Linked DNA regions of Diceros bicornis minor. The protein of the gene in region 4 purifies or fractionates together with the protein of the main gene of each other region. This does not show direct contact. Links are inferred from orthologs where the notes say so. Each region holds a gene or a part of one and is shown on either strand. Other genes may lie near its edges.

What was found.
Region 1: the proteins of RAN (region 4) and IPO9 purify together in Homo sapiens (affinity purification with mass spectrometry; 3 studies listed by BioGRID and IntAct, with this or other methods). This does not show direct contact. The link is inferred for Diceros bicornis minor from reciprocal best matches to the Homo sapiens genes RAN and IPO9.
Region 2: the proteins of RAN (region 4) and AKIRIN2 purify together in Homo sapiens (affinity purification with mass spectrometry; 3 studies listed by BioGRID and IntAct, counting the BioPlex papers as one, with this or other methods). This does not show direct contact. The link is inferred for Diceros bicornis minor from reciprocal best matches to the Homo sapiens genes RAN and AKIRIN2.
Region 3: the proteins of RAN (region 4) and NUP153 purify together in Homo sapiens (affinity purification with mass spectrometry; 5 studies listed by BioGRID and IntAct, counting the BioPlex papers as one, with this or other methods). This does not show direct contact. The link is inferred for Diceros bicornis minor from reciprocal best matches to the Homo sapiens genes RAN and NUP153.

Annotation. Positions count from the first base shown.
Region 1 is NC_080777.1:30,019,384-30,026,969, reverse strand, and holds the start of IPO9 (importin-9), read right to left. Parts: upstream 3,006-7,586; 5' UTR 2,991-3,005; coding exon 2,828-2,990; intron 1-2,827. UniProt on the Homo sapiens protein: Nuclear transport receptor that mediates nuclear import of proteins, such as histones, proteasome and actin. Serves as receptor for nuclear localization signals (NLS) in cargo substrates.
Region 2 is NC_080762.1:44,900,869-44,908,189, reverse strand, and holds the start of AKIRIN2 (akirin-2), read right to left. Parts: upstream 3,006-7,321; 5' UTR 2,489-3,005; coding exon 2,254-2,488; intron 1-2,253. UniProt on the Homo sapiens protein: Molecular adapter that acts as a bridge between a variety of multiprotein complexes, and which is involved in embryonic development, immunity, myogenesis and brain development.
Region 3 is NC_080753.1:49,678,003-49,685,955, reverse strand, and holds the start of NUP153 (nuclear pore complex protein Nup153), read right to left. Parts: upstream 3,008-7,953; coding exon 2,897-3,007; intron 1-2,896. UniProt on the Homo sapiens protein: Component of the nuclear pore complex (NPC), a complex required for the trafficking across the nuclear envelope. Functions as a scaffolding element in the nuclear phase of the NPC essential for normal nucleocytoplasmic transport of proteins and mRNAs.
Region 4 is NC_080774.1:2,098,565-2,105,814, forward strand, and holds the start of RAN (GTP-binding nuclear protein Ran), read right to left. Parts: upstream 3,011-7,250; 5' UTR 2,922-3,010; intron 2,478-2,921; 5' UTR 2,468-2,477; coding exon 2,432-2,467; intron 2,149-2,431; coding exon 2,064-2,148; intron 1,987-2,063; coding exon 1,861-1,986; intron 656-1,860; coding exon 468-655; intron 272-467; coding exon 101-271; intron 1-100. UniProt on the Homo sapiens protein: GTPase involved in nucleocytoplasmic transport, participating both to the import and the export from the nucleus of proteins and RNAs. Switches between a cytoplasmic GDP- and a nuclear GTP-bound state by nucleotide exchange and GTP hydrolysis.

The DNA.
Region 1 (7,586 bases), on a different chromosome or scaffold from region 4:
CAAGTGACTAAAGAAAATGGCAAACACAGGGACTCGAGAAAATCATTCCAGGACATGAAGTGATGAAACAACCTATCCTGATCCTTTCAAAATTGACCCACTATGAGTCAGGTGAATCTCTCAAATATATACACTTCCTTGGCTTAAGAGAATAGGCTCCCATTGTGGAAAACATGATAACTAACTATAGGCAAGTTATTTCTTGGAAAATATCTGCTGGCAGACTAAAGGACTAGGATGTACCTTGGCCTCCAGCAACCCCAATTTTCTAAGATAACTGCTTCTCAAAGTCTCCTCTACCCCAGAATCTGGTCAGAGCATGTCAACCTCTCATCTGTCCATTTAACAGGGAGTTGAAAATTTACTCTGCCCTTTCCCCCAAAATTAAATTAGAGCTTCTTTCACTTAATCCTCAAGACTAGGGAAGGAAGGTGGCACACTAGTTTGCCAAAGGGAACATACTGGTTAGTCTTAAGGATCAGTTGGGACCAGTCTCCCATGTGAAACAATAATAAATGGCTCACAAAGACAGTGTGGTTATTTGAGGGGACAGAGGATCTAGAAACAACTGGATTTGGTTGTCAGCTGACCTTGGGCCCCAGAGAACCAAGACAGGATCAAAAGATTACCAGAATACAAATAATAACAGACACCAACCCCCAGATTTCTCATTAACTTCAAGTTTTAAGGAAGCATGTTTCCTAGGACCAGAAAGCAAAGTTTCTTCCACTAGAGTAAAACTAAAATGTGAAGCAATTCCAAAGGAGTGGAAAACTATCTGTTCATTCATTTGCAAGAATGGTTCCTCACCTTGGTCTGCAGGGTGTTCTAATAGCAGGAGCAGCGTCCTGCCAGTTTCATCAGGTCAGATGGCTAAATCCTGGCCGGGAAGCCAGGAGCTATATATTTTCATGTAAAGAAGGGCAATAGCGAGTGGAGAAGAAACTACTGACCATGTTAATTTAACACCTGAGATTCAGACAGATTATAAAACAGGAGGTACTCTGGACCCCCGGCAAAAAATAACTTGTTCAAGGCCACAAGAAGAGAAGCAAGGTACTGTATCTGAGAAACAGGTCTCCATCCTCCATCTAAAAATAAGTTAACGAAGGGGGTGAGTTTCTATAGTTCTTAAATAAACATAAGGAGTCAGGCTATTTAAAAACAGAAACAGCCTCCAAACGGTCCAAAGCACCACATTCCACTGGAGACTTGATCCAACCCTGTCCACCACATCCTAAACCTGTGAACCTGTGGGTCATATGCCTTCCTCCTAGACCACTGATATAGGTCACTGTAACAAAGCCTTGCTATAGGTCTCACAGCATGCCCAACAGCACAACACCAGTAAATTATGGGTGTGTGTGTGTGTGTGTGTGTGTGTTTCAATCCACTCCCATAAGTGGCCTAGGTCTAAGGCAAAATTGTGCATTTCTGCTTAATTTTTTATTTCAAGACGCAAAAAAGATGAAGTGAGAGACTAGAACTTCAAAAAGACTTCAAGAAGTTTCTAAGTGACTTTGCCTAGATGAGACCACGGCACTGGCTAGAGTGGAAGGGATCAGAGCCCAAGTGGTGCTGTTGCTGGACAGTTTAAACAAGAGCCAGGGTTCACCTTTCATAGGAAGGCGCTGGACATGTATTTGGGGCACCAGGAACGTTGGGTATCATTCAGGGAAGGCAACGGACCCTCACCTTCATTCAAGTAGTAACCTGAATGTGATGAGGTTCCTTTGTCACTCTTCCTCCTTGCTGCCCAAGGGAGGCAGAGACATGAATGTGAATCAAGGATTTCCCTTGGGAGGCTGTGATAACTCCTTCAGGTCAATCTACACACGGCTCTCAAACAGTTTTCTCCTACCTGGTGGTTGCTCCTCTTGTAGGGTCTCACATTTTACAGAACAATGACAAGTACAACTAGGCCTTCAAAATGGTCCTTAACCTGTGAGATCGCAAATCTCAATGCATTTCCAACAGAGGGAAATTCGTTTTCAACAGCTCACACTGTGAGAATATAAAGTTAAATTTAAGGAATACTTGTCTTAAATTCTTTTCGTAAAACTCTTAAGTCCAGCAGGAGTGTGACTGTCAGACCTGGGACAACTTCCCGCGTCTCAGAAGAGCCTTTAAGAGGCGGTGGAGACGTCCTGCGGAGCTGGGGGATTCTGAGGATCTTGAGTCCTCCCAGTGGAGCCCTGAGAGACCAGCACATTCTTCCAAAAAGGCCAAGAGGCTTCTCCCTCCTCCTGCTTCAGGATCACACTGTTCTTTGTGGAGCGGCCACCCCGACCCTGGTGAAAGGCCCACTCAGCAGGAAAGTGACGGAGCACCCCGAACCCGGAGTTTCTTTTCTCCTCCATCACTTTAAGACATATCACAGGAGGATGGGGACAAAGAATCAGAGACAAAGGATAGTCGGTTCCTCCCAACGGAAACGCACACGGAGGCATTTAAGAAATGCGAGTTACTGTGAAAACGGACGGAGAGAAGTACGGTCAGGAAGGGAAGCGGCTGCATGCGCGTTTATTCGATTTCTGGGAAGACACGGGGAGGAACCGCCACCGGCCAGGCTCCGAAATCGGAGGCGGGCCCTGGAGAGCAGGACCACGCTCGGGAAGCGCCTCTCAGGCCCTGCTCCTCCGCTCCCCGCGCCCGGCCGGGACCCCGCGGTGCGGAGAGGAGGACCGGGTCCCGACTCGGTCACACTCGGCAGGCGGACCGCCCGCCCGCGGGTCCCGGCTCCACCAGACCCCTCCCCGGCGCCTCCCTCCCGTCCGCCCTCTCCCGCGCTGCGCCGGGCCCTCCTCATGTGGCCGCCCTCACTCACCCTCCGTCACCTCCAGCACCTTGATCTGCTCCTCGGCCGCCGCCCGCACCTCCTGCACGGGCGACAGGATCCCGGTGAGCGTCTCCACCAGCGCCTCCTTCAGGCCCTGCGCTACCGGGCCCGGTAGCCCCGACGCCGCGCCCGCCGCAGCCGCGGCCGCCATCTTTCCTCCTCAGCCCGCCACCCCGCCGGGACCCGCCGCCGAGGACGGCTCCCGCGCGCGGCCAATCCGCGAAGCGGCGCCTGCGTACGGGGTGGGCCGGGGGCGAGCGGGTCGGGGAGGGGGTCCAGGCCTCCGCAGACAGCGCCTCCTGCCGCCTGGACGAGAACTGCACCCTTGTCCCCCGGAATCACGTAGGATTGACGTGAAAACCGAGCCCCGTACGGGACAAGCGGCTTTCCTAAAGAGGACTTGGAAGCAAGGCCGTGACATGTGACTTCAGATCCACAGATCTTTCGGGTGTTGGGAGAGAGGAGGTGGGATGGGGATGGATGTAGAGGGCTTTAATAGCTCCTATTTTAAACCAAACTTTTTTTCCCTAAACACTGAAAAAATGTTGGCCCAGGTGAGTCTCTTCCTCTCTTAGCCTCAGGATTCCAAAGGGAGGGGGAAAAGAAACTGAAGTGGACGGGCACTGAGGTGTGGTCACCTTCCAAAGCCAATGTCTTGGTTTTCCAGCCTAGGTGAGCCCAACCCCAAAACTGGAACTTGGCCGGCCAGGAGAGAGCAGCTCCGTGCGTAAGGGCATTTCCTCCACTGTCAACACTTCTATGACTATTTGAGAATGAATCCTATTAGCTGAGAAAGTATAAATTTTTTTTTCCCCAGAGAAATTATGGCTGGACATTTAAGGGGTGGAGGGACGAGAGTTGTTTAATATGGATGTCCCAGGCTGGTCGTGGGAAATGGCTCAGGTATAGAGATGCCCCTCAATACTGGAGCAAGTGGAGGGAGTTATCCGAGGGGTTGAAAAGCAGGACAGGGTGGTGGCAGAGGGTTGGAATAGCTATGTTCTTGGAGTGGGAGGTTCTAGAACAAAGAGGAACAGGTATTTCTTAGAAAGCTGTTCAGGTTGAGTGCCTTAAAATGGTTTCTAGGAACCGTCTCAATCCTAAGTGGCAAAGGAAACCAGTTAGCAATTCTTGGCTCAGTTGTAAGATGGTGGATGCTAAATTGATAACAATCAGGGTTTAGGTCACCAATCTGAGGATTCTTCCAAAAGAAAGACTCCTCGATTTATTTTGAGGTGAACTCTAAACACATTTGTCACCTCCCGTGTTAGGGAGCAGAGGTCGGTTGTGTTACCACAACTATTTCACAGGGAAAAGGTTGCTTCTTTCTTCAGTTCCATAGCAGGGAATAGGAAGACTTCTCATTTTCCTTCTCTCAGTGGCCAAGGGAAGGTGAACTCCATTAGAATAGGTTAATTAGAATTAGGTTAATTCACTTTTATTCCCAAAAGAAAGCTTAGGGAAGTCCAGTGGGTGGTATGTTTTCAAACATTGTGGCAGTGGATGGAGGACTCAAGAACCCAACTTTGGGGCTGGACATTTCGAGTTTTGGTGATGGATGCTATGTCCACAGTGTGCAAGCAGTTCCCCCCAACTCCCAAAGGTTGGTCAAGAGACTCCTGCTTAGGATTTGAGGATGAGACATTTCCGGGCAGGTGGGTCTTACCTCTAAGGTTAGGCAAACAACCACGAGCGGTCTCACCTTCCAGTTTGAGGAAGGGGCCACAGGAAGTGGAGACAGAACCAGACAGAGAGGGAGCTAGAGAGAACCAGTGGACAGTACAGGAGATAACTTTATTGAAACACAAATGGCATCGAACAGATGACTCTTGCTGGGAGGAGACATGCCTAATGGACAGAGGGCCCAGATGAGGGGATGGCCTTTTCAGCTGGCCCCAGCATGGATTCCATTTTCAACCAATTTGTGATTTAAAATGAATTACTGAGGGGACAGTCCCGCTCTCTTCCTGATTGTTACCGCAGCTATATACAACAGGTTGCTTTCCAGGTTGTTTTGCTTCTCTACATTGGATATAAAAGGGGGTCGATTGGAAGAGGGGAGGGTCAGATGAGAAAAAACATAAACACACAGACACACACATATCCTGGTTTTGGGTTTTGTGTTCAATAAATTAAAAAAAAAAGTGTTGCAAAAATTCCTGCCCACCTTCCACCTGAGGTTCGCCATGCATTTGAGAAAGAAAGACTCCATCACATAAACAGTGCTGCCTAAAACCGGATGGGGAGGGGAGAAGGAAAGGAATCTAGCAGGGGTGGGAATTTATTGTAAAAAAGATTATTCTGTTAAAACAAAAACAAAAACACAAACACAGCAGGAAGTGGGAGGCTTCTGCACAGCAGCAGCACAGAGACCAGCTGGGTATGGGGCTCTTGCCTTATAATCAGACATCTCCAGTCTCAGAGAAATGGCAGGGAAGCAGGAAGATCCCACAGGAGATGACCAAAGGACCCATCGCCTGCCTTCTGGGGGTGAGGGGTGATTTTAGTGCAATTGTTTTAGACTCTCCTTCCTCTGTGGCTTAGTTCCAGAGCTCAGGAGGACTGGCATGCTTGTCTTCCACCCACAAGCTCTCTCCCAGGGAAAACAGACAAGTTTGAAACAAAACCAGCTGTCAACAGCCTCATCTCCCCCATGGCCCCATCAGCTGGAGTCAGTGAGTTTGGAAAGATCCAAAGCTCCTTTCAGATTTTTAAAGGGTTTTATTCTCTGGCCATGGCTGGGGAGTTGTGTATCCGAGTCCTGGTGTGGGGAAAGGAAAAGGGGAGCCCAAGGACTGAGGTGCCCCAGGACTGTGCCTTCATCGAGCTGAACTCTGTCCTGTGAGCCAAGCAGAGCATGGAGAGGGGCCTTCGTGGGAGACAGCATCACGGCTGTCTGCCGCATTGGGAAGGAGGTTCTGGCCAGGTTCTCAGACCTGCAGAGCCCAAAACTGGAGTAGGGAGGGGGATGTTCCTAAGACAAGTTGTCATGGAAATACAAAGGAGGTGTTTTGACTTTTCTCATCCTGTTACATAATCGGAAAAGGCTCACAGTAGACACAAGTAATCCAGAGAAGAGCGATCTGGAAGAGACTTCCAGCTGCCGTCTTCTGTGGGAGCCCCTTAGTGTGCCAGCCAGACACTTCAGAGCCATGGGATTTTTCTCTGAAGGTTGTGTTCAACTAGGAGAGATGCAAACATCCTGCTAACCTCAGCCCAAAGGCACACATACCTTTTCTTTCTGTGTTAAATAAAAGGAGAACCAGAAACATAAAGAAGCATGAGAAAGGTAACTTTGGAATTAATGTTGATGTCTGCATTATAAATAGGACCTTCTTATTCTAGGTCCCAAAGCTCCTCAGTGTGGGGCCTCTGATACTTGGCTTTCCCTCTAAAAGTGAATTTCAGACTGTAGTGTGCATCAGAATAACCAAGGGGTTTCGTTACAACACTCATTGCCGGGCCCTCTCCCCAGCTTCTGATTCAGTGGGTCTGGGATGGGGCCTCAGAATTTCACTTTTAACAAGTTCCCAGATGCTGCTGATACTGCTGGAAACACACGTTGAGCACCACTGCTTTAAGAAATGAAAGAGCTGAATCAAGGAACCAGCTGCTCACTTACTTCCATGACCACTCTTGTCATAGAAAATGCTCCATGGCATAATCATTAAGAAAACTAGCCAAAATATCAAACTGGGAGGACCCAGTATACACAGGTTTAGTTTTCAACTGTATTGGTCTCTCTGCAGCTTCCAAATTTCTACTGGTGTCCTCACTTTGAGACTATACCATCTTCCAGTTTGCTTCCATCTTTCCCAGGGTCTGTGGCTGGCAGTGCTTGCTTCCATGGCTAGGCTGAGCATACAGGCACCCATGGCCCCTCGGCAGTGGGGGGAGCTAAGTGGGTGGCCCCACATATCCCTGATCAGGTTGATTGAGGACTCGTGAATACATAAAGCTGATTCAATTATAAAGGGCAATATCTTCAGGCTTTGGCCTTTTGGGAACATAGTGTTCCTGGGACCATTTTGTTACTTATGGCCTCTTTAGTGGGGCCATGAATCAGAACTCGCTAGCAGCTATTGGTCATCCTAAGAGTGTCCCAGCCTTCCACTAGCATATCCTTCTCCATGAGTAAACTCTGCAAGCACGTTTCACCTCATCGCTGGGGTTGGCTCATAAAGTCTACTTATTAGCTTCAGCTTAGCTAAGGCCCAGCAGGAAGGAAAGGAAAGAAAGGCATGATGAGGAGCTACATCTGCTGACCACGATCCCTTCAGCACTTGAGCCCTTGTGCTGTGTGGTTAGGACAAGACCAACTTCCTCTCCCAAACACCTTGCAATAAAGAACCCTAAAGCCCCACGTAGGCTCTCCTTGATCCTGGTTTGCATGACCAAGTCCTACTCAGTCAGGCAAACTTCACCTGGGTGCAGGGTTTCTGTAGATGGGTGCTGTCCCAAGTGGTGACGTGAGGTGTCTGTGAGAAACTGCAGGCTGCCACTGCTCCCCTCCTACTCTGCTGGAACCCTAGAGGAAACAGTTACCTCTCAGACCACTCCAAATAGTGTGACCCTTGTCTCAGGGAGCTACAAGTGAAGAGACGGTGAGGTTAAATCTACTCAGAGTCTTGCAAACCAGGAAACCCAGAAGGCAAGAAATGAAATGAAAAAAAAAAAAAATCACTATTTTGTCTTAAGTCATTAAGGAGTATGGATAGATTAGTTAGAAGGTTGGTGATTCAAGCCA
Region 2 (7,321 bases), on a different chromosome or scaffold from region 4:
TTTCCAAGTTTGGTGACATGAAAACTGGGAAGCTCTTTGATACCTGCACAACACTGCAGCTCCCATTATGACGTTATTACAAAACCATACAGGAGCATGCCCAAAACTGGCCATGTAAACACAAAGCCAAATTAAATTACATGTAGAATGTCACTCAAAATAGCAGCAAAAAAAAAGTAAATTTTTGCAATTCAAAACGTTAGCAATTTTAAATGCTTTTCGAAGTTAACTTTTTACGTTAAGATTCAAATTAGTTAAATAGCTAAGTAACTTTTAGCAGACAATAAAAATCAATTATGGTGTGATTTTCGAGTTCAGGATCTGATCAAACTTCCAGAGTAAACGTCCAAAACAGAAGATGCAGCAGTATTTTGGAAAATATGAATTCGAAATCAGCAGGCTTAAGCAACTCCAATGATTCCGGTTGTTTTACTATCATATAATACACTTAATGGAAATTTGAGAAAATTCGGAGCCAACTGCCTTAGCCAAATATATCAATGAAATCACAAATTTGCAAAGGATCCCAATTCTTTCCAAATAAGTTTCCTTTACAGCAAGGACAAATGTTATAGCCCCTGGCTGGTTTGCCATATATGCTCAAGACTATTTTAGCATTGAGATATACTTCAGCTCCCAAACCTAACACTGTATTAATTCACCCCCTCGACTGAAATTTATTGCTGGTTAGCTAGAGCTATTTTTAAGTGGCCTTATTAGTTGTTAAGTACAGATTCCATGGTATCATTTCAATTTTCAATGATCCTATTTCACTAAAAAAGACAAACTCTAAAAATAATGTTAACCACCAGGAGCTCATTTGTAACATTGTTTCTTTTTTAATGTAAAGCCTAACAATAAATCAATGAATGTCTTCATATAGAAAACAGTTTAGGTATGGTCATTAAATAAAATTATCTGGGAATTCCTCAAAACTCGCCACAACTCTAAAATAGTATATCTTTAAGTTAGATCAAATATTGAATAGCAAAAATGGTAGCCTTGGCATTTGAAGGTCTCCCCGCATATCTGGGGAAGGATATTTAAAAATCGGACCTGAAAAAACAAAACGAGTCAATTCCAAGTGGAAGTTACCAAATATAGAGATATATACGCCTAAATTTTTTTAAACCAGCGATAATGAAACATTTAAATCAAGCTATGAAAAAGTTTTGTCTACAGGTCATATTATTACCAAAGGCACATACACGAAACCTTTGCATGCTACACACACAAAGGAAACAGAATTACACTACCAGTCCACAAAAGCCTATCTTAGGACTGTGCCAAGGGCACACAAGGAATTTCAAAGTACAGAAAAAACTGGGCATACACATGCAGTACAAAGCAGCCAAAAGACATTTCCCCGTAGTCACTTTCAGGAAATGTTTCAAAATGAAAAGCAAAAATAGTCTGAAGTCCCTTCGAATCTTGGGTTGACTTTATTATTCTTAAGGCCTAGGCTGTTTTCTCCCGACATACTTTGTTGGGCTGAAATAAAGCACTTCCAACTAAAAACAACTACTTAGCCCCAAATTTCAATACAATTTGCTTTTCATTAAAAGTTCAAGTTTCTCAAGGTCTAGACGTATAGTGTGATCATATTACAGTACACGGGAAGAGCATTTTCTTTGTTGTTGACCCTGCTAGGGAAACAGGTCTTGACTCAGCCAAAGTGGCGTTCTTGTGGGTGATTAATGACAGGCCTACATCTCGCCCCGGTGACATCCATCCCCACCCCCCACCCCCTCTGTACTAAAATCAGCCATGTCTGAACTGGAGAAGGGGCTGCTGCCTCGCTTCGAACCACCCAGTCCCAGAGTCAACAGCTGCAACCCATCGATTCAGGGAGACAAGACACCGAGATTCGGGGTAATTGTGACCCTTCCCTCCCCTAAATTTATGAATAATATCGCCCTCTCCGATCATTTCCGCTGGAGCTCTCCAGACTACGGAAACACTCAATTCCAGTCACTGGCCCAAAGAAAAGGATCTTCCTCTTCCCCACAATACCCGGCAAGGCACGGCCCCTACCCACCCACCTCCCGACCGCCCCCCAACCCCCCACTGATATCAAGCCATTTCTATTGTCTCCCAGACTGGACTAGCTAATTAAAAGAAATGTGGTCGCCCAACTAGTCCGCTAAGAACGAGGACGCGTCCGGCACCCCCACCCCTGCGGCCGCGTCCTGCGCCCCGGGACCCCCGTCCCCTCGCCCCTACCCCCCCGGCGGCCGCGGGGCCGAGTCCCACCTGTGGTGAGGCGGGAGGACACGTCGCCGAAGGGGGACGGCTCCATTCGGAGATACTTCTGCGGCGAGGCGGCGGCGGCCGAGAAGGAGGCGGCGGTGGCCGCGGCCGCCGACGACGGGGAGGCTGCGGCCGAGGTGGGCGCCGACAATGGCGCACATCGCCTCCGCTTCGGGGACGCCGGGCTCAGCAGAGGGTCGAAATCCAGAGTCCTTTTCAGAGTGGCTCCGCACGCCATGGCCGGGGCCGCGGAGAGCCGGGCTCGGGTGGGGTCGGGGAGGGCGAGGGAAGGGGGAGAGCGGGGACGCGAGGGGAGCCTAACCGACGGGCTCAGGAGCAGAAGGGCGGGTGGCGGAGCGCCGGTGGGGAGGAGAGCCGCCGCCGCTGCCTCCGCGGCAGGGCAGTGGCCCGGGCCGGCGCGGGCGAGAGCGCGAGGGGCGGTGGCGGCAGCTCACGCCCGCCGCGTCAGGGGGGCTCTTCCGCCTCCTCAGGCGCGGCTCCCCCGGGAGAAGCTCCAGCCGCCCCCGCCGTCCGTTCGAGCTTTGCGCCGCGCCTGAGGCGCTCCTGCGCTGAGACCGGCTCCCTTCGGAAGTCGATACCAGCTTGGTGAGGTATGACGCCGGAACACGGCTCCTAAGCCGCCTGCGTAGGCTCAGAAGCTTGAGAGCGGCGGTCGATGCGGAAGGATTGCGAGGTGGTGGCGGCGGCGGCCGGAGCTCAAGCTAACACGTCCAGCCGCTTCCCCTTCCACCGTACGACTCTTCCACCCGCCGCCGGCCCCAATATGGCGTCAATAACAACGCCGCCGATTCAAATCCTGCGGCGTCAGGGCGCGTGCGCATAGGGGCGGCCACCCTGAGGGTTCTTTCTGGGAGTTGTAGTTTTTCACTGTGGGAAGGAATCCGCATAAAATGCGGTTACGGAGGAGTAACGGAAACTACAACTCCCGTCATTCAAGGCGCGTGATTCTGAGTTCCGGGTTAGAATTTAAATCCCCCTACACAGTGTGAGTGTAAAAGGAAGTAAGGAAAAGAGAAAAAATAAAAGGCTCCGAGAGTGTAGGAGAGGGGAAAGCGAACCGATGGGGAAAGCAGGCTTAAAAAACCTTTAAAATTCAAAACAGTTGTCCGGATACCGCTCCCGCTGTGCTTTGACAGCCAGGAAATAGAAAACCAAGCCAACCTAACAGTCCGACAGATTAATTTCGGTAATGAGTGCCAAGAAGAAAACCTGTCACATCGAGGGGCTAGGAAATAATGAGATTATGGAATCTATTTAGGACTGTAAGAGAGAACAACAGTAATAGTATCAGGTTACAGGATCCTTGATTGAACTCGATCCTTGTCCTTCCCAGGCAGCTGCTTGCATCCACTTACTAAATTTGGCAGAGCCAGCTTTATTCTGTAAATGAATAAGATTTGAACGACGTACAGAATGAAATTGTTTGCTTTGGATAAAAAGCGAGTGATATAGGGAATTGTACTATCTCTGTTGAATATTGGTGTATATCTTGTGAACAGTAAAAATTGAATCAAAAGACGTAATGAAATCTCTAGGGAGTAGATTGGACCCATTTTGAAAGCAGAGAAAAAATTTTCTTCTAAAAGTTGTACCTTTGTGCGTGTGTGTGTGTGTATGTGTGTATGAGGAAGATTAGCCCTGAGCTAACATCCATTGCCAATCCTCCTCTTTTTGCTGAGGAAGATTGGCACTGGGCTGACATCCTTGCCCATCTTTGCCCATCTTCCTCTACTGTATACAGGACACTGCCATAGCATGGCTTGACAAGCAGTGCATCGGTCCATGCCCGGGATCCGAACCTGTGAACCCTGGCTGCAGAGTGCAAACTTAACCACTACACCACTGGGCTGGTCCCTAAAAGTTGTGCTTTTAATCAGGTACCTAAAATAAGAATCAAATACAGCAATAAAAGAGTGATTTATGCAAAAAACTATCACCAGTCCTTTGCCTATGGAAGCTATCACCAGTCCAATACAAAACTATATCTATGTGAATGCCATATTATCAAATGATCATAGATATCAAATACTGGCTTCCAGTGCTTATTTATTCCTGTCATTTATTTAGTAACTGTATTCAGTAAAAGAGGTTTTGTACCACTTTGTCTTTTATTCTTTATACCACTTTTGGACAGGAGTTCAATATATTAATACTTGTTTTATAGGATTGTTCAACACCTCAAAGATAAGCAGTCCTGATCACACTGTTTGTGTCAACTAAGTTTGCTAGTTTTATTTTAAGATATTATACTGTTTGGAAAATATCTTTCAAAAAAGATCAGCATTTAATAAAACAGCAGCTTAACCATGACACCTAGTAGGTAAATTTTTACTAAGTTCTAAGCACTCTATGAAATCTATGATATGGTGAAATTAACAGAATATACACATTTCATGTAAATAAGTAGGAAAAGATAGGTTAACCCATGGAAAACAAGTCACAAGGCATTTATGTTCCTGTTAAATATTTTCTGGAATTAAGATTTGACCTTAAATTATAGAGCTTACATTGGAAAGGGAGTGTTCTGAGTTGAATTTTGTCTCCTCAAAATTTGTATGTTGAAGTCCTAACCCCAGGTATCTCAGAATATGACCAGAATTGGAAATAGGGTCATTTCTGATGTAATTAGTTGAGATGAGGTCATACTGGAGTAGGGTGGGCCCCTAATCCAATATGACTAGTATCCTTATAAAAAGGGGAAATTTGGACATGGGTGGGCAGAACACCACATGAACATGAAGAGAGAAATCTAGGTGCTGCGTCTACAAGCCAAGGTATGCCAAAGATTGCCAGCAAACCACCAGAAGCTAGGAGAGAGGCCTGGAGCAGATTCTCCCTCACAGTCCACAGAGGGAACCAACCCTGCTGACACCTTGATCTCAGAGCTCTAGACTCTGAGACAATAAATTTCTCTTGTTTAAGCTATCCAGTTTATGGTACTCTTATGGCAGCCCTAGGAAACTAATAGAAGGGGGGTTGTGGTTATCCTTTGAGTTACACTGGACTGCCTGTAAAATGGGGAAAGAGCTGTATGTAAAGGTGGTAGGGGACATCTGGTAAACTTGACATTTTAGTCATAATGGCTGCTCATGTGATCACCACTGCACAGCACATCTGCAAAACACTCTCTGTTATGATAAAACAGTGACAGAGCTGCAGCAGCCTCCCCTTCTACCAATGACTAAGGCACCTGCTCAGAAGCTCAGAGGAATAAGAGGAACACTTCCCTATTCACCTCTGTGTCTTTGCTCAGGCTCTCTGCTCCACACTTTTTGCCTGACTGCTTACCCTTGAAGACTCAACCCAGGCATTAACTCTTATAGGAAACCTTCCCCCAACAATTTGAGGCTGAATTAGTTTTACAGATTCACAGAGAAAGAGACACCTACCTGCATATCTTCATCATTACGCCCACCACATTGTAAAAGAATGCTCTGTTCATGAATCTACCTCTCCTACCATGTATTAGCTCCTTGCCAATAGTATAGTACCTTGCACACATCAACAAATACCCATTGATGTTTCAAGTACACATTTTAAAGTCACCCTATCCTCCCAGTAGCCTACATTATGCTTGCCCTTTAAGACAGATATCTACCAAAATAGTATAGCAACCGTTTTAGAGTAGAAGAAAGCTATTGAAGAAGGAAAAAAACACCTAAGAAAATATTTCTTAGACTAAAATTAAGAATAAAAATAGAGCCAGCTCTGGTAACTTAGTGGTTAAGTTGTGTGTGCTCTGCTTTCGCGGTCCAGGTTCAGTTCCTGAGCATGGACCTATACCACTCATCAGCCATGCTGTGGCAGTGACCCACACACAAAGTAGAGGAAGACTGGCACAGATGTCAGCTCAGGGCTCATCTTCCTCAAGCAAAAAAAAACAAAGAGGAAGATTGCCAGTGGATGTTAGCTCAGGGTGAATCCTCCTCAGGAAAAAATAAAATAATATAATACTTGAAAGCTGATAAGTCTTAACATAGTTTAGAAGTGAATTTTTATTTTGTTGATCAAAAGGAAAAGAAAACTATATTTAACACATTAATAAGTTGAATCTGGTCATATGCGTCTAAATATATAGTACAGCTAATGGCTCTAGTGACCTACACAGACCAGAATTGCTCTTGTTGTGACTAAAAGGCCTATATCAAGTTTTAAAGGCTTGAAATATTTAGAATAGTTTTGCAACAGTCTAGCAACTATTTTCTGATTTGTATAATCTCAGAAACCTCTGAAGAAAATCAAACTGTTCTACCAAGATGCTGGTCTTTGCTTGGTATTAGACTTTTCTAACACCTCCCAAAATATTCCCCAGGATCTGATTCTGGTGAGTCATTCTTTGACTAAAGCCAGTAAAAGTAGACATAGCTGGATGACACAAAATCTCATCATCCTGAGCCTGAAGATCCTGTTCGTACATAAATCATTTTTCAAACAATTTTTCTGACGTCAAATAAAGATAAGTGCAAATATGTAAGGTGTGGAGAGGTGTTTGCTGACTTTGCATGCTCAGTTTGAGTAATCGTAGGCTCAGCATTAGGAACAGCAGTTCTAATTCAGGAGTCACTTCAAATCTATATTCAGAATAAGCACTGCCTAGGAAAAAAAAAAGTTTAATAATTGTGTAAATGAGTGCAGTAGAGAAGAACACACATTGTAATTCCTTCCACATAGGATTTTGCAGGCTGGCCGAAACCTCTTCTAAGCACCAGATATGGAATACCTACTATTTTCCTTAGTAGATATGATGCTGGCTAATTTTACTTTGGTTTCATTATTTTGGATGTGGTCATTATTTTGAGTTGATTGGATAGATCACAGAGTAATCTAAACCATATATCTGTGAGTGATTTCAAGAAGTTACCTAGTCTAGTTCCTAGCCTCAAAGCATGATTACCTGTAAACTACTCAAGCCAAATCAGTATCTCTCTGACTCTTTCTAGAGATTTTCAGGAACAGCATCCAAAATCCAACTGCAAATTCTCTTATATCTAGCTTTAACCTCTTCTCTGTCATCAGAGGCTGACTTCTACTAGTATAGTGCTCTATAGAA
Region 3 (7,953 bases), on a different chromosome or scaffold from region 4:
CCCCAAAAAAGGGCAAAAATAAGTAGTTCCCTCTCACCAGGAGGTGGCAGTAGATTCTTCCAGAGGCAAGGTTCTGGTTTGCCCGTGGGCTCAAGTTTTTTGTGGTGGCTATTAAAAAAAGCAGCTTGACCTCTCCAGAGCTGACTTTTTGGGCCTGACAATCTGCACAAAAAGGAAACGGGAAAGGAGACTGAAGAGGTGACAAGAACTAACCACATCCTCTTTAGTGACCTGTTCACTCCCAACTAGAAAAATGACACCATTTCCTAAATGCATCTGGGCTAAGAGTTAGGAGGTAGGGATGAAGGCAAGTGAAAATGATCAACTTACACTACTCAGGGCTGTTCTTCATTTTTGCTTCTTCAATTCTTAAGTTGCTTCCCTTCAGTTAGTTAAGACAATGGATTTAAGTTTCCACCACTTCGAGCAAGATGCCATTTTAAAGATCAGAAGTTAAAAGGAAAAAATGTAAACTAGATCTATCTCAGCAGAGCTAAACCAGAAGAAATCAAAACAGGAAATTACAAGTCAGTTGAACACACGCAAAAGTCACAGGTACTGCGTGACTGCGTGATTGCACAAGCCAGTTGGCCTGACAGGCAATGGCAAACATCCATTAACTAATAGTGCCAGACCTCTCATTCTTATTCCAACTCTCTACCACATATCCCAAAACTTCATTTTTGCCCAGAAACTCTTAGACACTTAATCAAATAACATTAGTATAAAACATGCCATGTCATGAAGCTCCTTGATATTCATGATGACTCAGCAGCTGCTGCAAAACATAGAGAGGTGACAGCCCAGGATAGTACAGCAAGCAGGTAGTCTACAAATCCACAAAAGTTCCAGTAAAGACTAAAGAAAGTCCTTATTTTAAGATGAACAAAATCGATAAATTAAAGAGTATTCTTTTGTATACTCCTGGACACATACTTTTCTTTGGTAGTTTCTGCCAATGTTAAGTAACACCTACAGTGTTGATCAAGAAACTCCCAAACATCTTTAATCTCAACCCAAAAGCTAAAAATGTATTTCCTTTTTCAATTAAATGGCTGAGGTAAGAAGCTGAAAGCATTTCTGATAAGGGGAAATGATAAAATTATCAAGCTCTAAAACAAAACTACACTGAAATTATATCAGCTCTAAGACAATTTGGATCATAGGTGTTATGTTGTTAAGGCATCATCTCCCCCAAATTAGATTTTTATCTAAATACCTTTAAAAGTAAGCTGTGATTATAACTTCTGCCACCTGGAATATATTAGCTCCTTTCTAAACTCTGTCCAGACCATCCAATGATCTGTATTTAAAACATTTCATTTTTTATGTAGTAACTTTCCCTTAGGGAGACCTAAGACAGCACTCAGACATTTATTCTTCAGGAGAAACAGAAAGCATGTGTGTCTAACTTCCATTCTACAAAAGGATTAGGTTAAATGGCCAGGCTTGTGACCTGAATTCTAATCTTAAATCTGCCTGCAAGTATATACCCCTGTTTCTCACAAAGAAATCTGAAAACCAAGTACTTTCTGCATATATTTACCTGGGGGGAAACTGGTGAGAGATAATAGTAATGCCAAGACTTCTAACCATTAGTAGAGGACTACTTAATATTATAAACCACAATTTTTACTATCAAAAAATTTCCCTCAAATCATTACTTTTAAAATTCTGTTGTTTTTTAATGATACAATTTAACACCACTACCAAACATGTTAAAGTGTCCAATATTCATCATCATCCAGAATAAGGCAACCTAGGAAGTCTACCTTTAACAGTATGCAACAAGTTATCAGACCCTTTTGCTGTACGGTACTTCTGTTTTTTAACAAGTTTAAGATATACACTTACTTCCCACCTCAGCATCACAGAGAAGTTTTATTAGTGACTTTTATCAAAATAAGTTTTTAACATTTTCCTACTCAATCCCCATAATAAACACGTAACGTTTAAAAAACGAAATTTCCTCAGACTCAAATGTCTCATTTACAATTAGGATAAACTCCTTTTCATAATTTCAAACACCCATGAGTGCACAAGGTGGTTAAATTCTAAGACCACCAACATGCCTGGAATGTCAAAAGTACCTAAACTTCCAGAATACGCCCCATAATATTAAAATATTTTGTGCATGAGACCAGAACTGGAGTCCCGGTCAACTGTGCATAACGGCCAAGTCTACCCTCCAAAATAAAGGGAAGGGGAGGGATAGAAAGTGGAGAAGGAAGAGTCTCGCAGCAGAGAAAAGACGTAAGGGTGGAGAGGGACTTTCAAAATGCCCCACTGCCACGGTAAGTCTAACCCGGTTACGAAAAAAAAAATCTAAGCCAATGCTCTCAGATCGGGGAGGAACAAGAGCAGAGGAGATGGAGAATTAATTAATAGGTTGAGACTAAGTTATTCCACTTTCTGTGTAACAGCGCCCCCGCCAACCCCCGGAGGCCGATCCCTCCGGGCAGCCCCCTCCCCACACGCACTGAAACGCGGGAGACTAGAAAACAGCAAGCGCAGAGGCCTCCAGCCACATCTTTTCCTTTCTCCCTCGGGAGGACGTGAGTAATACCCTCAACCCCCCAATCCCCGCCAAAAGCGAAAGAAACGCGGGCATCGTGGGCCTAGAGTTGCTGTTCCCGCCCTGCGCCCGTCCAGGGGAAGCCCCTGGCCTGGAGGGCTGGCGAGAGGCGGCCCGAACCACACGTGGGTGCCGCAAAGATGGGCCTGTGTCAGCCCACTTCCCGTCGCCACCCCGCCCGCCTGCGCTCCCGCCGCCTCGCTCGGGCCTTTCCGCAGGCCCTCCCGTCCGCTCCACGTGGGGCGCCAGGGCCCCTCGCTGCCTGTTCCCTCCCGCCGAGTTCCCGACCCGCTAGGCCACCGCCGCGTCGGGGTCCCGTACCTGGTGCTGTTGTCGCCCCTGCTGGTAAGGCTTAATTGGCCCCTGGTGGCACCGCCGCGTCCGGATCTTGCCGCCACCGCCCCCTCCTATTCCTCCGGCTCCCGAGGCCATGGCGGAGCCTCCGCTGCTTCCCCCTCCCGGGCGGGTAAGGGGGCGGGAGAGGCAGAGGCGGCGGCCTTAGAGCACCCCCGCCCGGCCCCAGCCCAACAGTCCGCCCGCACTGCCCACACAGCGGGGCACAGGCACACCAGGAACGGCGAGGCTGCGAGCTGGAGTGGCGAGAGGACGCGCGCTGGCAGCGGGGCAGGCGGTGGCGGCGACAGAGGCCGAGGAGCTGGCTCCGGTCCGGCAGCCTCCCGCGGACCCCCGCCTCTGTGTATGTCACTGTCTCTATGGAGATCCCCCGCAGAGGACAGCGAAGCGGCTCCGGGCGCTTAGGCCTAACTCGACGGCCGGCTGATGGGGATTCTTCTTCCGTCGCCCTAGTCGTAGCTGCCGCAGTTGAAGCCGCCGGCGCCGCCCGCCTACCCCTCCCCTTTGCGCGCAGCGCCCGCCCCGCCGCCGTCGTCGTCCCTGCAGTCGCCGCTGCTGCTGCGCCTATTGCCGCTGCTAAGGCCGCCGCCGCGGTCGCGAGCCAGAATGCCGTCACTCGTCAGCGCCGGACCAGTTTGCGTCATCACGCTGCGACCGCGTGATAGGCGAAGAGGAAGGAAGGGCTTGTCGAGCCCGCGCTCTTGGCCGCGCAGCCCGCTGGGAAACGTAGTTCAGCGGAAGAACGCGAATTCTCAGGAGGACGAGGAAGGAGATGCGCGGATCGCCGCGAAGTCACAAAGCCAGAGAGTCTGTTCACTTTGCCGCTCTTGGCTGTAAACTTAAACTTTGAAAGAGGCATTTAACATCAAAACAGTAACGTTCCCACTCTACTTCTCCCCATCATTTGATAAAGGGAGCAGAAAATAAGCAGATAATAAAATCAAAGACGGGAGCTAATAACATAAAAAGAAAAAAAACTGGTTGAAAAAATAATGTCCATGATCTTTAAGCCTAAAGCAGAATTAGAAAATATATACAGTTTCATTAATGTTCCATTAAACATATAAGAGCTTTGTCGTCAAATACACAAAGGCTGGAATTCCAGCTCTGCTGCTCTCTGGCTTGACCTTGGATAAGTCAAAACCTGAGCCTTGGCTTCCTCCTCTATAACGTGAAACTTTAAAATCCACCTTATAGAACTGTTGTGATCATCTACGTAGAGCACTTAGTATGTTTTCTGGTAGACAATAAATGGCTACAATTATTACCTACGCAGTCAGCTCACATTAGAGGTAAGCAGTCTGTTATCAGTAATAAAAGTATATATATATTTGCTCCAAATAGAAGGCATCATATTTAGGAAAGTGAGTTAGGCTCAAAGATGGAATCCACAAAATACGAATAGAGATTGTAGGAGTTGACCATTAGGAAGGTCTTGGTGATCACGCGGTCTAGCCCTCTCATTCAACGGACAAGACAGCGATCCAGAGAATCCAAGTGGCATGTTGGCGGACACTGAGCTGGGCAGTCAAAGCCAGGACTATAACCCAACTTTTCTGTAAGAGCTGAGACAAGTAACTGAATGATTAGGGAGAAAAATCTGCCACTGTGAAAAAACATAGGCTTAATGTTCTGTTTGAGCCAGTTGATCTTAAAGCTTATAAATAGCTTTAGAGTCAAATAGACAATTTCAAATCTGTCACTTACTAGCTGTGTAGCCTTGGGGGAGTTACTGATCCTCTTTCTAAGCTTCAGTTTTCTCATCTGCAAACAGAATGAATATTAACCTCAACAGGGTGGCGCGTCTGATAAAAGGACTAATGTATATATTATAGCTCATAATGATTGCTTAGATAGAAAGCATCTAACATCATCCAGCTATCAGACACAGATAAATTAACTCCAAGACTTTTATACCATCTCCACCAACAAACTGCACAATTCAAACCACTGTATAAATCATATAAGTCAAATTGTAAAACGAAATTTACAGTACCTTGGAATTTGCAAGGAACCATGTTGTATCAGACCTAGGTTTACAGAGCAAATGACGGCTTTCAGTGGCGCTCCTGTCCGTAACCACCAAGACTATAAAAAGTTGCAGAATATGATAGACAGAATGAATCCACTTGCTCTTGTGCTTCCCTGTCCTAGCTTCATGCCCCCTTACACCACTGACTCCCCCCTGGACTCTCCAGGTATGCATACTCTTCTTCTGGAAGCACCTCATCCTTCTTAAATACAATTGTTTGTCTTTCACAATTCTTAGCTAGGTATTTGGCAAGCGGAGTAAGGTAATTTTTAATAAGCTAACTCACAGGGAAGATCTGTACCTAAATCTTTAAATGGGCTCATATATAGGAGATGGAACTGTAGCCACATCCCATCTTCCCTTTTCAGCCCACCGGACTCAAAATTCCCAGCACAGGAGAGTGGACTGGCTGGGACTCAAAACCCATCCCTTTCTTGGAGGCTATTTGATGTGTGGGGACAGCCTTCACAGCCAAGCTTTGAAGGAAGGGACATGCAAAAGAGCTGGGCCTAACTAAAACGAAACTTTAGAATAGAAAATTGGTAGGATTTGAGGAGATATGGGAAAATCCACATCCCCCTTTAGACTTGATCTCAATTGTTTACCCCATTTTACGGTTATTTCTTTGAAGTAAAACAACATTTGAGGGAACAAGAATACATTAGTCCCACATTTATGTGATTGAGTTCCTGGAAACTTTACCAGGCTTGACAGCAGAGAGAGAATAAGAGACAAGAAGAAATGCGCATTCAAAACTTCTTAATTTTGGGCCAGCCCCCTGGCTTAGCGGTTAAGTGCGCGCGCTCCGCTGCTGGCGGCCCGGGTTCGGATCCCTCGGATCCCTGGTGCGCACTGACGCACAGCTTCCCCGGCTATGCTGAGGCTGTGTCCCACATACAGCAACTAGAAGGATGTGCAACTATGACATACAACTATCTACTGGGGCTTTGGGGGGGAAATAAATAAATAAATAAAAAAAAACTTCTTAATTTTACCTTGAAATAGTATCAGCCTCACTATGGGATGAAGTAACTTCTTTTGCATAGTTTGAGATTCTAAAATAACATTGTTTCTGTGCTGAAATTCAGTTTGGAGTTACAAATCACCAAACCTAGAGTTCCTCACACATTTTTGGTACAAAATTCATTCTTTAAGTGGGAATTACTAGTAGTAGAATGGGTTATAATAAGTTATTCTGATTATAACTTACAGAATCTACCTGCATTCAAATAAATAATTATTGAACATTTCTCTAAGAGATACTATATATAAATTGGAAAGAATATCAAATGGCATGGAACAATAATAGGGGTTCTTGAAATCCTTCCAGCCATATTAAGAGTTAACAGGTTTTGAGGAAGGAAATTATTATTATTTAGTACTTATAATTAAGCAATTTCTATAGATCATTAAATTTAATCCCTAAAAACCCTATGAGATTCTGTAGTTCACAGCATTGGAAGCTATCACTTGTAAATTTTGTATTATGAGCTAGCTATCTTCTTTATTCATCCTTTCCTTTTTATTATTAACTTCTACTCCCACTGGTCTTTAGGCCTAGACAAAACTGAAATGATTCTGAGAAGTGACCTTATGTTTTGGGTTGTTTCACTGAGTATATTTTAATAGAAACTCATTTCTCCCCTACTAGGTTTTAAACTCCTAGCAGATAAGGAATTTTTCTCATAGCTATATCCTGAACACACAGAACAGTGTTAACAGTCACTCTGTATATACTATAGCTCATTTGCCCAATATCCAATTACTACCAATGTCAACTGTTTCCATTTTATTAGAATAAATAGTACAATGATGAAAACAGCTAAACTGATTTATATAACCTTTCCTGGCTTGCCTGTATTCATTTACTATACTGCATAACAAATTAATGTTTCTCAAATTCATTTATTTATTCCTGATAAAGCGTTTGTAAGAATCATGAACAAATCCCCATCATAATGTTATATAGAGATTTTCACGTAATTCTAATAATCCTGAGAGAAATTATTTTCCTCATTTGAAACTGGGGCACTACTGAAGGGATAAAAAAATAGTTAAAAAAATTATTTTAAAAATAATAGCAGTCAATACTTGAAATGATTTCTCTTCCTCTCTCAAAGCCCATGCTCTCACTTTGCCATCGTTCTGCCATTTTTTTGGCCAGTTTTGGAACCTACCTATCACTTAAATGTTTGTTAGATCCTGGTTCTAGTCTTGCTGCATAGTGAGAGTGGATATTTGCCCAGCTGTATGATGTGATAGCCGTTGGAGAGACCAGACTCAAATCGCTGGCTTAGGATCACCTGGGAATGCAAGGACTCCCATTATGGCATGGGGATATGAGGACATGTTGTAGGATGGGAGTGAGTGTACATCAGCAGGGGCGTTTTGGTGGAAGGGATATTGTACATCAGGCCTCCAAATCTCAGAGAGAAGCTATGTTAGCAAGATCAACAGAATTCAACGTATATCATAGAAGGTTAGAGAAAAAACTAAGAGCTATTCATATTCAGACCAAGTGGCAGAACCTGACACAAAACACAGAAGGACAGGAATTCCTTCCCAATAACCAAGCTGAAAACAAAGATTAGCCCAACTTCACTTTTCTTAAACTTGAACCTGGTTTTTTCAGCCAAAACAGATGGTGTATTGGGAGAGATCTCAATTTATGAAAAGCCTATTATTATTAGAGTCCCTGTCCTCCAAGAAACTTCTTTATTTTTCCCCATATAGTATTGGAACCGTCTGCCAATTATAAATTAGCAAATAGAGAGGCTGCTGACCCTTCTCTAAGAGATAGGAAATATCCACTAATTACAAATGAAATACAATTTAGTCTAAGCCCAACCTGGATGAAAAACCTCCTCTATATATTCTTCAAAAGGTAAGACAATTCTGGGGGCCAGCCCCAGCCCCATGGCCTAGTGGTTAAGTTCAGCACGCTTGCTTCAGTGGCCCAGGATCGGTTCCTGGGCATGGACCTACACCACTT
Region 4 (7,250 bases):
CTGGAAAAAGAGATGAAAAAATTTTAACACTCTAGATTAAAGCCACTAGGAATGTGATATGCCAAATCCCACAGCACCCACTGAGACTGAAACATCATACCTCTAGATCATGCTCGTACTGTGCTGCCAAAGCTGGGTCCATGACAACCTCTGGTGGGGCAAGAGCAGGCATGGCGACAAACTCCAAGTTAGGGTCTCCAATGAGTTTTCTAGCAAGCCAGAGGAAGGGCTTTTCAAAGTTGTAGTTACTTTTGGCAGAAATGTCATAGTACTGTTTAAAAAAGAAGTAAAATTAATTTTAAAAACTCCATTACTCAAACAATGATCATCCTGGGGGACACTGCAAGCTAAAAGATAAAATTACTTCAATCCACATATCACAGACGTTTATCAACCACTTTAATGGACCCATATATAATTTTATCTAAGGGCCCTAATCCAGTAAATGGAAGCTGTAAGAAACATACCTGAAGATTCTTCTTTCGGTGGAAGACAATAGATTTTGCCTTAACTTTCCTGTCCTTAATGTCCACTTTGTTGCCACACAACACAATGGGGATGTTTTCACATACTCGTACCAGATCTCGATGCCAGTTAGGCACATTCTTGTAAGTAACTCTCGATGTTACATCAAACATTATAATGGCACACTGGGCTGAAGGAAAAATTTACAGAAATTAGTACACACCTAGCAACTACATGGATGAGAAATGCTAAGAACTATGGACTAGCACTCAGTCTCAGACTTAACTCTAGGTCATCCAGAGTTGCCTAATCAATTTCAAAGTCTCTTCCAATTCTAAAAATCTTAAATCACTGTAACACACAATACCGTTTATATGAAAGCATGAAAAACCAATTTACCTTATCAAATCTCTCTCCCTATAGTCCTTCATCACTAATTCTACCTAATCCCAAAAAAGTACCTAAAGTAGATTAATGATAAATCAACATTCCAGAGAACTCACCTCCCATATTCTGAGGGTCTAGAAATCTATGCTTTACAATGTCCTTAAACGGCTGAATACACCATAACATGCCTCTATTTAAGAATACTCAAGTAGGTCACTATGTTGACCTGTAGGAATAGGCACCTCTCAAAGCTAATGAAAAAACCAAGAGTATGCACAGTATAATACAGTTTAAGTAAAGAATTTTTGGGGGAAAAATCCCTGTATTTGTACATACTCAAGGAAAAGCAAATAGCATGGAAGGATTCCCAACAACTTTTCAGCGAGAGTAAGATTCCAGGTAATGAGTATTTTCTTTATTCATCTTTTCATTTGGCACAACAGTAAGCATTTTTCTTTGCAATTTTTAAATCAAGCATTCGGAAAAAAAATTCTGCAAAACTCAGCACAATTAAAAAGAAAACAGCTGGTCTTTTACAACATTTGTAAGCTAGAGAACCTAGCTCTTCTGGTCCAGTATCTGGTCAAACTGTTTACTATCTTCTCAATAGAATGGAGAAGAAATCATCATTGATGACCACCAAAACATACACCCAGAAATAAGTTTTCAAATGAGGCTGAAGCTGCAGCAACTGCTTGTCTGTTGCTTACTACTGTTTTTAAATTATGAGCCTCAATATAAAATCAAGTAGTTTTTTCAAAACAGTGCCTATTATGACACAGCATGCAACCAAACGGCACAAGACAACTTCCATAAAATTTTTTCCCCCTCCAATGATGGTCAGCTCCCTGGAGGCAATGACTTTTTAATCAACCTAAATTACACAACTCCTGGTACGGTCCGGATTAAGCATGTGTTCACTGGAACAGATCTGATCATCACTGAACACCCTAGGGGACCAAACTACAATTTCTCAAAAAGTGTTCAAGTTACAGACGAGACACGCACCTTGAATGTAATAGCCATCTCTCAGTCCACCGAATTTCTCCTGGCCCGCTGTGTCCCACACGTTGAACTTGATGGGCCCTCTGTTGGTGTGGAACACGAGGGGATGGACCTCGACGCCCAAGGTGGCTGAAACACACACCCCACATCAGTCCGGGAATTCGTCCGTTTCACCCCACTTTCGCCGACGGTTTTCCCCCACGTACCTACATACTTCTTCTCGAATTCCCCCGTCAGATGGCGTTTCACGAACGTAGTTTTCCCAGTGCCACCGTCCCCAACCAATACGAGCTGTTGGACAACACGTTTTTGAAATAAACCCCAGACCCGTAACATCTCAGGACCCCGGAGTCACGCAGCCGCGAGGCTTGCCGGACGCCCACCTCCACCGGGGGGACAGAACCTCAACACCCCGTCAGGTCCCCCCACACAAAGGACCCCGACCGAGCGGCCCCGCCATCGCTTCGGCGACTTCGGCCGCCGGAACGTGCGCCCGCGGCCACGCGGGGCCCGGCCCCGAGAGCCCCCGCGCGCCCCGCCGCGCCCCGCCGCGCCGGCCCACGCGGACACCTACTTTGAACTGGACCTGCGGCTCTCCCTGGGCGGCCATCGCGATGTTCCTGCGGAGAGAGAGCGGGGCCCGCGGGGGCCGGGACACATGGCCGGCCGCCCCACGTGCCGGCCCACAAAGGCGGCCCCCGGCCCGACCCCGCGCGGGCGGCGGGCGGGGCGCGGCGCCATGGCGGCCGGGCGGCGGCTCCCGCGGCCCATTCACCGGGCCGGCGGGGAGGCCGCGCGGGGGAGGCCCGGAGGCCGGGCCCCGAAAGCGCCTGGTCACGGCCGGCCCGCCCGGCCCCCCTCCGTCCGCGCCCGGCCCGCCGCCCCGCCGCCCGCCCGCCCGGCCCGCGCTCGGGTCCGGCCCGGCCCGCGGCCTCCACGGGGAAGAGGGCCCGCCGCCCCGGGCCCGGCCCCGCCGCCTCCCGCGGCCGCCGGCGCCCTCGCCCCGGCCCCGGCCCCGGCCCGCGGCCCCGGCCCCCGCCCCGGCCCGGCCTCCCCTCCGCTACCTTCCAGAAGCGTCTCCGGGCCCGTCTGACTGAGGGCTGGAAAGATGGCGGAAGCGCAATTCAAATGCCCGGAGACGCAGCCGACGCCGGCGCGCGCCGAGGGAGGGCGGGGCAACGGCGCGGCGCCTCTCCCACGTGGCCTGGCGCGCGCGCGCACGCACGCCGCGGCTCCGCCGGCCGCACTCGTCGGCCGGGGGCGCAGGGAGAGGCTCGCGGCGCGGCGGGAGCGGGAGGCCGTGCGGGCGCGCGCACGCCCGCCTGCCCGCGGGGCCACGTGCGCCGGCCGGGAGGCCGGGTTCCCGCGCGCGCATGCGCCGACGGCGACGCGGCGCGCCCTGCTGCCGCCCGGGTAACAGAAGCGGGAGGGGAGGGCCGCGGCCTGTTGGGCGGGAAACTCGCGGGGAGCGGCCACACAAAGCCCCGGTCGTGCCCGGCGGCCTCCTGCACAAGCACGGGCACAGCGGGCCCCGGGGGCGCCATGTTGGGGGCGCAGGCCCCTTCCCTGCCCCCTCCCCAGCCCCCGGCCTCAATCAGGACCCTCCGAGGGGAAGGGAAGCAGAGACCGATGCTTTCTCCCCCCGAAAAGCCAGCCCCCTGTCTCCTACGGCGTGTGATCGGTCAGCAGCCTCCGCGACCGTATTCTGCAGACAGGATGCTGAAATGTGGTGTTCGCAACCGTGGCGGGTCTTCTCCTGTTACAGACATGGGTGCAGTCATGAGTGTCCAGGTTCCAGACTCGGGAGGGGATAGGCCGCCAGGAGCCCGGACGAGCGCCGTGCGCGCACGCTCCTGGAGACACCCCCTCACGGGGTCAGCGTGGGCGGAAAAGGAGGACCCGCAAGCTCACGAGTATTGGTTATCGTCATCCGTTCATTCGCTTTTAGCAAAGATGTGGGCCGAATGGAGTCCTCGCACCTCGTATCCTAAATCTGAGGCCAGTGTTTGGCGTTTATATGGACAACCACAGATTCTTTAACTGACGTCTGGGTCCCCCCGGCCAAGCAAGCATCCATGACTGGCAGCAAGAGCAGGCAGCGAATGGCCCCATCAGAATAAAGTTCCTCACAAAAAGATTCCACCACGGGGACTGTTCCCAGAGCAAAGAACCCAAATGACCAAGGAGTTAGCCACGGAGTCCTGAGTGCACTTGCAAGCAGGTCTGTTGGGAACTCCAGTGACGCAAACTGGGCACAACACATCTGAGAATGTGCCTGCTGGGAACTCAAGTCCGAGTGCCCCGAAGGACCCTCAGGAAAACACCAAGCAGATCTCGATGCTGCTGGTGGGAGTGTAAATTGGTTCGGCCTCTTGAGAGAGAGAAACTAATAAAACATAAATGTCCATAGCTCACGACCCTGAATTGCCCTGTATTTCCATTTCTCGGGAGATGCCGTAGCGTTAAACTCACACATGTGCATAAGGAGACAGGTTCACAATGCTCACTGTGACATTATTTACAGTAACAAAAAGTGGAACTTACGTAAACGTCCATCAATAGGGAAATGTATAAATATGCTGTGTTTATACGATGGATTACTGTACAGCATTTAAAAAGAATGAAGTTCAGCTATGTCAACAGAGTTAGATAGATCTCAAAAGGATAATGTGGAGAAAAGAAGCAAGTTCAAGAAATATGTGGTAATACCTTTATATAGTCTACACTATATATAATTTATAGAGATTATATGTAGTATAAGACCACTTATGTAAGTTTTTTACAAACACACATAAAACCATATTAGTTCTTGGATGTATGTATGTAAATTTTTAAAAGTTGACTACAGGGATATAGACTAAATTCTGCTGGCTGTTGCTTTGAGAGAGGAGAAAGGAGTGTGATGAAATTGGGAAAAGCAGTCAAAGAAGTCTTGATCTGCAGTGTCCTCTTTCTTTTTTTAAAAAGGTAATCGTATAATTCTGGGTGATGAAAACACCAGTGTTTAGACCTTTTGGCATTTAAAAAAAATTTCTAACCACAAAAAAAGCCAAGGGGCAGTATGTCAAACCAAGAGTATTAGCTGCTCTCGCACCCATCCTTCTAAAAGGAGCTCCTGGGCCGGCCCAGTGGCTTAGCGGTTGAGTGCTCGCGTTCCGCTACTGGCGGCCCGAGTTCAGATCCTGGGCGCGCACCGACGCACCGCTTCTCCAGCCATGCTGAGGCCGAGTCCCACATACAGCAACTAGAAGGATGTGCAACTATGACATACAACTATCTACTGGGGCTTCCGGGAAAAAAAATGGGGAGGATTGGCAATAGATGTTAGCTCAGAGCCGGTCTTCCTCAGCAAAAAGAGGAGGATTAGCATGGACGTTAGCTCAGGGCTGATCTTCCTCACAAAAAAGAAAAAAAAGGAGCTCCTGGGTGGTCTGTTCTTGGCTGCTAATGTCATTAACTGGCCCAATCCCAGAACTTCTAAACATCATCATCTTATGGAGAGTGAAAAGGGGGAAAATATACTCAAGCCAGCAGAAATAATGCTTTTCCTCAATAGAACTGTCCAAGCTCGTCCATTTGTTAATGGCTTTGCAGTTTACAGAGGTACTTAACTTGTCTCGGCCACCCAACACAGATTGCAAACCCATGCTTAACCTGTAGTTTAAAAAATTACAGCTATATACACAAAGAAATATGAGAATTACAAAAAAGTTGCAAAAGTAGTACAAGGAATTTCAGCACCCTTTACTTCTAGTTTCCTCAAATGTTAACATTAATCATTCTTGATCATTCTCTCCTCTCAATAAAAACATCGTATATATATGATTTTAAAAATATGTCAATATATATGTGATTTTTTTCCTCTGAGATGTTTGAGTAAGAAGCAAACAGCACGCCCCTCAGTGTGTATTTCTTAAAACCAAGGACATTCTGTTACGTAACCACTGTACAATTACCAAAGTCAGGAAATGAACATTGTTGCAATTGTTATCTTATCTACAGAACTTAATTGCCAATTGTCTCACGCCTGTCCTTTATCTGCTGCAGGATCCATCTAGGATTACACATTACATTTAGCTGTCCTGTCTCTTTACTGTCTTTCAATGTGGAATGCTACATTCATCTTAGGCTTTCATATCCTTGACATTTTTGCAGAGTATTTTGTGGGCCAGTTATTTGTAGAATGGCCCTCCATTTGGATTTCTCTGATATTTCCTTAGGATTAGAGTCAGGTTATGCAGCGTGGGTTGGGATACCACAGAAATGACGTATGTCCTTCTCAGTGCATCTTATCAGGAGGCACAGAGCGATCTTCTTAAAACATATCAGACCAACCTTCTCCCCTCTTAAACCCTGCAACGGTTATCTATCTATCTCACTTGGATACATGAAATCCTCAGCCGGCCAGGTCCTATATGAGCTAGCTTGTGCCTACCTCTCCTGCCCCACCTCGGGCCTCTTTCCCAGTAACTCTTCTGTGGCCACACAAGCCTTTCTGAATCTTACCTTGGCCAAGTTTGTTCCCAAATCAGGGCCTTTGCACTTACTGGTCCCTCTGCCTAAAACGTTCTTTCTCCACATCTTTGCCTGAGTGGCTCCTTTTCATTCTTCAGGTCACAGCTGAATGTCACCTCCTCAGGAAGGCCCACTCAGACCACACCCCTTCTAACGTGTTATCACCACTCCAGCCCTTCCTCATCTCAGCAACCATTTTATTTTCTCCAAAGCACTTACCACTAACTGAAAATATCTTGCTTAATTATTTACACGCTTCCTTTTTTTATCTCTCTGTCCCTCATTAGAATAAACTAAGCACCTTATTTATCATGATATTTGAGGTATCGAGCACAGTGCCTCGGCCATAATGGGAGCTCAGTAAAGATTTGTTGAATTATTGAGTGAATTGCTCTTCACCCCATCTGAATACAGAAAGAATAATCAGAAACAGCAGCGATATATTCTAATAAAAATAATGATTTACATATACCAGCTTATTAGAATTTTAATAATGCTATTTCATATCAAAGACTAATCATTAAGCAAATAACTTAAACATTTACCAAATATAGGGCCAAGCTTTTCTATTTGTATGGTTTCCATCAACTTTGTTGACTTTGCAAACCAATAAGGAAGCTAATCTTAAAGATTTCATTATCTAATTCATTCATCAGTCCAGCTGACGCATGTCAGTAACTTACCAAATGAGATCTTTTCTTTATCCGACACTCAATGTTCCATATAGGGAGCACATCGATGCACAGAGTACATGCTACTTCTTAGCGTTAGCACAGAAGTTATCGTCTTAAAAGCAAATGGAGAGACTTGTCATATAGTCACACCATATAGTCACTCATCTCTTTCATCTAAAGATAAGGACAGTGCAGAGGGTGCAC